Linked DNA regions of Xenopus tropicalis. Each later gene encodes a partner of the first gene's protein in a complex. Links are inferred from orthologs where the notes say so. Each region holds a gene or a part of one and is shown on either strand. Other genes may lie near its edges.

Region 1 (3,754 bases):
TGGTACCGTACTGATGGCAAGGGGAGGTGCCAAGTTTGGGGTTTTTAAAACAATTTTGATTGGGTGATGCCTGAAATTATGGTTTTCTATATGTTTTTCTGTGCCCTATTCAACTTGATTGGCTGCCCCCGTGGCTACACACAGAGCTGTCGACTCCCCCTATTTAATTGGGAGTTACCCAATTTGGCTCATCTCCCTTAGGGCAAGAACCCACGGAGCGAGCTACTCGCCCATGACAAATATCAGCATATCTGCATTATACTGATACACCCAGTGCTTATACTTTAATAAATGTTCTTTCTCTAGGTTGGCACCAGGAGGTATATGGCCCCTGAGGTTCTGGAGGGAGCAATTAACTTTCAGCGAGATTCCTTTCTCAGGATAGATATGTATGCCATGGGACTGGTGCTCTGGGAAATAGTATCCCGATGTACAGCAGCAGATGGTAAGTCTTTGCTACCATCTTGTGGTGGTAATTATATTATAAGCATTCAACTGTATATAATAACTGTTACCCTGTATGAGCGGCTTTTCAGGTTGAATAGGTTGTGTTCTCTGTAAATAAAATACAACAAAAATGTGTTAGGGGTTTACTTACCCTTTTTTTTTAAGCCTGGACTAAAAGCATAGTTCCTGGAAATGATGTGTAATCTCAGCTTCACGTCTACTATCATTTATAACAATAAGAGTCTAAAGTTTGTGCCGGGTCTAGCAACCCATAGCAACCAATTAGATATTTTCTTTCAAAAAGTTGTACATGTGATTTGCTGGCCAGAGCCTTCAGTCTCAGAGGTAGGTAATTCCACAACTAGTTAGTATGTGGCCTTCCTGAACCAGATCTGAAGGTAAACTCATTTCTGACTTTATTTTCTCATTCGGAAACCTGCTGCACTTTGCAGTTTGACTCTTTTAGATTATGTTGGGAGTAGTAGTTTGAGGATATTTGGAGGGACACATCTTAACCATCGCTGAACTGACTTTAACTCATCCTTGTCTACAGGCCCAGTTGATGAGTACATGCTCCCATTCGAAGAGGAGATTGGGCAACATCCTTCCCTTGAGGACCTGCAGGAAGTTGTGGTTCACAAGAAGATGCGCCCCGTATTTAAAGACCACTGGCTGAAGCACCCAGTAAGGCCTATTGCATATGCTAGAATGCCCATTAGTTTTTATTCGTTGAGCGTATGAGTAAAAATGACCATAGCCACCCAGATTTTGCCCCCCCCATGGTCATCATAATTGGTGTTTATAGAAGTCTTATCGGAAGAGGAATTTATCCAATGGGATTTTCAAACCTGCCCAGTAGATATTTAACCAGTTCCTGGCAGAGAATATTGGTCATGTAGCCTGTCAGATCGCTCAATTCATAAGCCATTAAGCTGTTGAACATGGTCACCGAATATCGGCTTATATATGGGCAGCTTAGTAAAGAAAACTGTACTTTACATTCATGTTGTTCTTATAATTACTCCCCTACATTTGGGGGAAAAAACGACATTTTAGACCAGGGATCCCCAACTTTTTTTTTTTTTACTTGTGAGCCACACTTGGATGTAAAGAAATGTTTGTGAGCCACTCAGGCATGAAAAAAGTTCTTTGGGGATGCCAAATAAGGGCTGTGATTGGCTATTTGGTAGCCTCACGTGTACTTCTGGCCTGCAGAAGGCTTTGCTTAGAGTAAAACTGTGTCTCCGTTAGGGATGCACTGAACCCAGTTTTTTGGGTTCGAGCGAATCCATGTTAAGGGATTTTGCCGAACCCCCGAATCCATGTTAAGGGATTTGGCCGAACCCCCGAATCCATGTTAAGGGATTTGGCCGAACCCCCGAATCCATGTTAAGGGATTTGGCCGAACCCCCGAATCCATGTTAAGGGATTTGGCCGAACCCCCGAATCCATGTTAAGGGATTTGGCCGAACCCCCGAATCCATGTTAAGGGATTTGGCCGAACCCCCGAATCCATGTTAAGGGATTTGGCCGAACCCCTTAATACATGTTAAGGGATTTGGCCGAACCCCCGAATCCATGTTAAGGGATTTGGCCGAACCCCCGAATCCATGTTAAGGGATTTGGCCGAACCCCCGAATCCCTGTTAAGGGATTTGGCCGAACCCCCGAATCCCTGTTAAGGATTTGGCCGAACCCCCGAATCCCTGTTAAGGGATTTGGCCGAACCCCCGAATCCCTGTTAAGGGATTTGGCCGAACCCCCGAATCCCTGTTAAGGGATTTGGCCGAACCCCCGAATCCCTGTTAAGGGATTTGGCCGAACCCCCGAATCCCTGTTAAGGGATTTGGCCGAACCCCAAAAATCCCTGTTAAGGGATTTGGCCGAACCCCAAAAATCCCTGTTAAGGGATTTGGCCGAACCCCAAAAATCCCTGTTAAGGGATTTGGCCGAACCCCCAAATCCCTGTTAAGGGATTTGGCCGAACCCCCAAATCCCTGTTAAGGGATTTGGCCGAACCCCCGAATCCATGTTAAGGGATTTGGGCGAACTCCCGAATCCATGTTAAGGGATTCGGGCGAATACCGAACCAAATCCTAATTAGTAGGGATGGGCAAAATGATTTTGACCACGCGGCAGTAAAATTCGCCACGCGTCACGCAATTTGACGCAAATTGTCGCTTTCTATAATGTGCGCACACACATTAAAACAAAAAATACACATGCGTCATGTAAAGCGACCAAATTGCAAGACACACAGCAAATGTTTTTGCCCATTCCTACTAATTAGGATTAAATGTCGCTGTGCGCAAACCGTGTGGCGAAAAATTTAACACCTCCGCGTTTATGCTGCGTCATTAACCCTTCCAGATTCGGCCGAATCTGAACCCTGCCGAAAAAGGCCAAATCCTGGCTGAATACCAAACCGAATCCTGGATTCGGTGCATCCCTAGTCTCTGTGCTTCCAAAATAGTCTCCAAGCTAGAAATGTAAAAATGGGCACCTACTTATGTCCACTGGGAGCAACATCAAAGGAGGAGGTAAGCTCAAGACACACTGGTTGGGGTTCACTGTTTTAGATCATGATCCACCAGAAATGCCTAAACCACCTGAACCATGGCCACTTCCTATTAAGCCCAACCACTTTTTGGAGTCTGCAAATCAGGCCTGTCCCTTTAAAATCAGGGCAGTGTGGTATATAATCACTGATTTTGCAGGCTGTTCAAAAACTATAATTCATATGTATTAGTGCTTTTGTTTGACCCAGCTTCTTTGAGAAAAATCATCTGACATTTCCAACTTTCTACTTCCAACAGGGTCTGGCCCAACTGTGCGTGACCATTGAGGAATGCTGGGACCACGACGCGGAGGCGCGGCTTTCTGCGGGCTGCGTAGAGGAACGCATTTCCCAAATCCGTAAATCAGTGAACGGCACTACCTCGGACTGCCTTGTATCCATTGTTACATCTGTCACCAATGTGGACTTGCCACCCAAAGAGTCCAGTATCTGAGGTTTCTTTGGTCTTTCCAGACTCAGTGAATTTAAAAAAAACTAGGAAAAAAAAAAACTCACGAATGCAGCTGCTATTTTATCTTGACTTTTTAATATTATTATTATTTTTTTTTTTTTGAATTTTTTTTTTCTTGGATTCTACTTGGATCGGATCAATTTTACCAGCACGTCGTTGTATAGTATTAAAAAAAAAAAACAAAAAACAGAGACATCTCAGCAAGCATTCAGGTGCCGACTTATGAATGCCGATAGGTGCAGGTACTTCAGAACCTCAACAAACTCATTTCTAGAGAAT
Region 2 (3,754 bases), on another chromosome or scaffold:
GCATGCTTTGTGGGTGTTAGGTTATCAGTAAGAGGATAATAGCACTCTCCTTTGCATTCATAAGCATCATATTCTGGGGGTGAAATTATCCAGGAATCCCAGCCAATATCCTTGAAATTCACTTTTAATGAGGATTTCCTGCAATAGTTAGTTGCTTGACTTCGCTTAACCCTCATCTTGCCGTTACCCAGTCCAAAATTCCAATTTTTATGCCCATTATTTGCATATTTAACAGTATTTTTTTTTGACACAGTTTGTGTGCCAATATTCTCCTCATGAAAAATAATTTCCTTTCTTTCCATTTTTGTCTTCTGAGGCTTGCTCCACTTGTCATCAGAGAACACAAGAAGCACTGGTGGATAGCTACTGTTTATCTTGACACCTCTTCGATTATCTTGTAATCTAAGGCATGAATTCAGAGGTTTGTTCGAGCCAAGAAAAATCTCCAGTTTTTTTGTTATTCTGCTTGATGTAATCCATCTTTTGACTGCCCTGGTAACATTAATTGATAGCCAGCCACTCCTTTCAATTATTTTTGATTCTATTAATGATTTGGGGTATCGAAGATTTTCAAAGGGCTCTGTGTAAAGGATATCATATACCAGCAAGTGTCCATGATACTTTTTCCCAAGAGATACATACATTTTCAGCTCAGCTTCTGTCAGCTCCTCATGCTGTGGTATTGAAACATTAAACAACACAATGTGGCTCTGGAATGTGTCTTCCAAGGCAGATGACGACAGAATGTCTAAATGCGAAAAAAACAAAACATGTTTATGATCGCAGTAATACAACTCTAAGAATAATCATCATGAGCAGTAAGCAGTTAAATTGGATAGTTATATGTTGAATGCACTTGTGTATCATTTGTGCATAGAGGCATTCCTATCCTGTAAATTTGCCCTATTAGCAATCTATACCCTTGTCAGAACTTAACAACCTCCCCGCAGATACTGAGTTTGATTCCCCTATCATTACACTGCTGCATGTCCTTCAGTGCCTAGCACTGTCTGCTTATATGTAAAAAAAAAAATGGAAATCACTGAACAAAGTGTTACACTCATGTATGGTGAATGCATATGGGCCTCTGGCAGCCAATTAAGAGGCCCATGTGTTTGTTCACAGGGTAAAATTGTTTTTAAATTAAAGGCCATTTGTAGAATTAACATAGTAGATAGCTAGCAATTAGAAATATAGACTGCTATTAATGAATAAAGATTAAATATTAATAACATAGTAGCACAAAGTATTGCCAGAAAAGGTTTCCAAAATGGTTTCTATGTAAAAGACTATCAAGTGTAGTCACAGAATACCCAAATCATGGCACTACAGTCACCACTTAACTGAAACACTGCACACTGTACTGCACAGAGGGTGCTTAGAAACTGAAATAACCTGGAGGGACATGGGTCTGATGTGAAAACAAATGGCTAAAAATTGCCTTTATTCCCAAAATGGAGGAATAGATGCAATCCTTATCATATTATATCCACCTTATCAAGCCTATTTTTAATTAAACCAGTACCAGCCTTTATTCTACAGCTCTGTTTAAGCAGCCTATAGAGAGACAATTTTAAAGTGACAATTTTAAAGTGTTTTATACAAGGTGAGATTTTTTTTAGTCAATAAGCAAAATTTGAATAACGACCAAATAATATTTCCTTTTGAAAAACTTGAAATTATCAGATAAAAAGGAAATAAATGGAAACATAATCACTGGTCACTGAGATACTCCTTTTGTTTTACTCAGGGCAGTGAGAATCAAAGCATCTGTGATGTCTTGTTTTAAGGATAATCTTGGCATTTGACAGTGGCACAAACAAACACAGGAAGCAGATATTGTAAAATCTGTACATTAATTAATTACACTTCAGGTTCAAAGATTTTGGATCAACCAAAAATCACTCACATACATATTCAGATGAGCCTTACCTTCAGCATTAAAACTCCGGATAATGTTTGACACAGGCTTTAATGTTTTATCCTCTGAAAATCGGTTATAAAGCTCAATCATAAACTGTGGGGGCATTTTCTTTATTTTGTCCTGAGACGGAACACCGGATAAATTTAATCCCCACAGAAACTCCTTCTTTGTGTTCTCCATAAACAGGCTCATGATATCTTCTGGTTTTTCTTCATAGTGTCTGTGATGGTTTCTGGGTGCCAAGCCTTGGAGAGATTTGTTTGTTACAGTGTCAAAAAAGATGATAATTATTGAAAGAACTACTGAGAGTGTGATAAACTTCATGTTTGTGGACGGACTTCACTGCAAGACTGCTAGGTTTCAATAAGATTCCTCAAGCACCATGCATAGAATTCACTGCAGCAGTCAACTAAACACTATCTTATATTTTTTTTAAACCACTTGCCTGTCATTTGACAACCAGGCTTACACATTCACTTCTCCTTATCTCTAAGCCTGGATAGCAGTGTGTCAGTTTTGCTTATCTCATTAATTTCCTTTGTTGATGTAAAATATGTAACATGCTAACATTATTTTGGGACCTTAAATACTACACTGAAGGGGTCAGTGTGTAATTATGAAATTTGGATGTAGATCAAGGGCCCTTAGAATAACTTTTTACCAAGAAAATATGTGACACCATGTCTGTTTTAGTTCTAAAAGTCTGGTGGAAAAATATTCAGTGCCTTTCTCTGTCACCATGTACTTACATATGTAAGATTTGAACTATATATAATAATAATATAATATTAATAATAATATTAATCACCCCTCTTACTAGGGTTCCGGTTCTTTTGAGAAGCAGACAAATAACCCACACCAATAAGTGTATATTAAAATGAATATATTGAGTAGAAAATCAATGGATTGTTACAATGAAAAGATTAGTTAACAAAACAAAATATATTTACTTTATTTACATATACAGATTAATATCAAGTCTACATATAGCTACCAAAAAACACAGAACATTGTGGTCTGGTTCCTTTTCTCTAGCCATGGCCTCCTCTCTCGTCTGTCTCACATCCTGCCCGGTCACTTCTGATGCAGTCCTCAGGTGCTCCTCCCAGGTTCTTCCCCCAGGTTCTTTTTCCAGGTTGCTCTGTCCAGTCCACATTTATACACCTTTCAGCCACTGCCCCCACATACCAACTGATCAGATGGGGGTTGATAAAAACCACACCTTGCCCATTGTTCAGTAACTGAGTTTTATGGCTTCTCGCAGACGTACTGTCCCACCATCCACAGAAAAACCCTTAGATATGGAGATTTGGCTTCAGGTGCAACTTGAAAAACTGGTTTATATTAATCATTAGAGCTACCCTCTACACAGTGTATATGTATAGAGACACACAAACATACATATATACATACATATATATATATATATATACATACACACACAGGTATCGGACCCCTTATCCGGAAACCCGTTATCCAGAAAGCTCCGAATTATGGAAAGCCTGTCTCCCATAGACTCCATTTTAATCAAATAATTCAGAATTTTTAAACTGATTCCCATTTTCTCTGTAATAATAAAACAGTACCTTGTAATTGATCCCAACTAAGATATAAATAATCCTTATTGGATGCAAAACAATCCTATTGGGTTTAATTAATGTTTTATTGATTTTTTAGTAGACTTAAGGTATGAAGATCCAAATTACGGAAAGACCCCTTATCCGGAATACCCTTGGTCCCGAGCATTCTGTATAATGGGTCCTATACCTGTATATATATATATATATATATATATATATATATATATATATATATATATATGTATCAGTC

Evidence for each region. The genes of interacting proteins can lie anywhere in the genome.
Region 2: the proteins of acvr2b (region 1) and gdf2 are in contact, whole or in part, in a crystal structure (PDB 4FAO), measured with the Homo sapiens proteins. The link is inferred for Xenopus tropicalis from reciprocal best matches to the Homo sapiens genes ACVR2B and GDF2. Residues at the interface, in NP_001097.2 of Homo sapiens: Asn35, Glu39, Cys49, Glu50, Glu52, Lys55, Leu57, Tyr60, Ser62, Arg64, Val73, Lys74, Cys77, Trp78, Leu79, Asp81, Phe82, Asn83, Glu94, Gln98, Val99, Phe101; in NP_057288.1 of Homo sapiens: Arg333, Ile346, Ala347, Pro348, Lys349, Glu350, Tyr351, Glu352, Lys397, Ser399, Pro400, Ile401, Ser402, Val403, Leu404, Lys406, Gly410, Val411, Pro412, Thr413, Leu414, Tyr416, His417.

The regions. Positions count from the first base shown.
Region 1 is NC_030682.2:13,794,101-13,797,854, reverse strand, and holds the end of acvr2b (activin receptor type-2B precursor), read left to right. Parts: intron 1-306; coding exon 307-445; intron 446-1,000; coding exon 1,001-1,131; intron 1,132-3,262; coding exon 3,263-3,457; 3' UTR 3,458-3,498; downstream 3,499-3,754. UniProt on the Homo sapiens protein: Transmembrane serine/threonine kinase activin type-2 receptor forming an activin receptor complex with activin type-1 serine/threonine kinase receptors (ACVR1, ACVR1B or ACVR1c).
Region 2 is NC_030683.2:61,308,767-61,312,520, forward strand, and holds the start of gdf2 (growth/differentiation factor 2), read right to left. Parts: upstream 2,754-3,754; 5' UTR 2,249-2,753; coding exon 1,933-2,248; intron 749-1,932; coding exon 1-748. UniProt on the Homo sapiens protein: Potent circulating inhibitor of angiogenesis. Signals through the type I activin receptor ACVRL1 but not other Alks. Signaling through SMAD1 in endothelial cells requires TGF-beta coreceptor endoglin/ENG.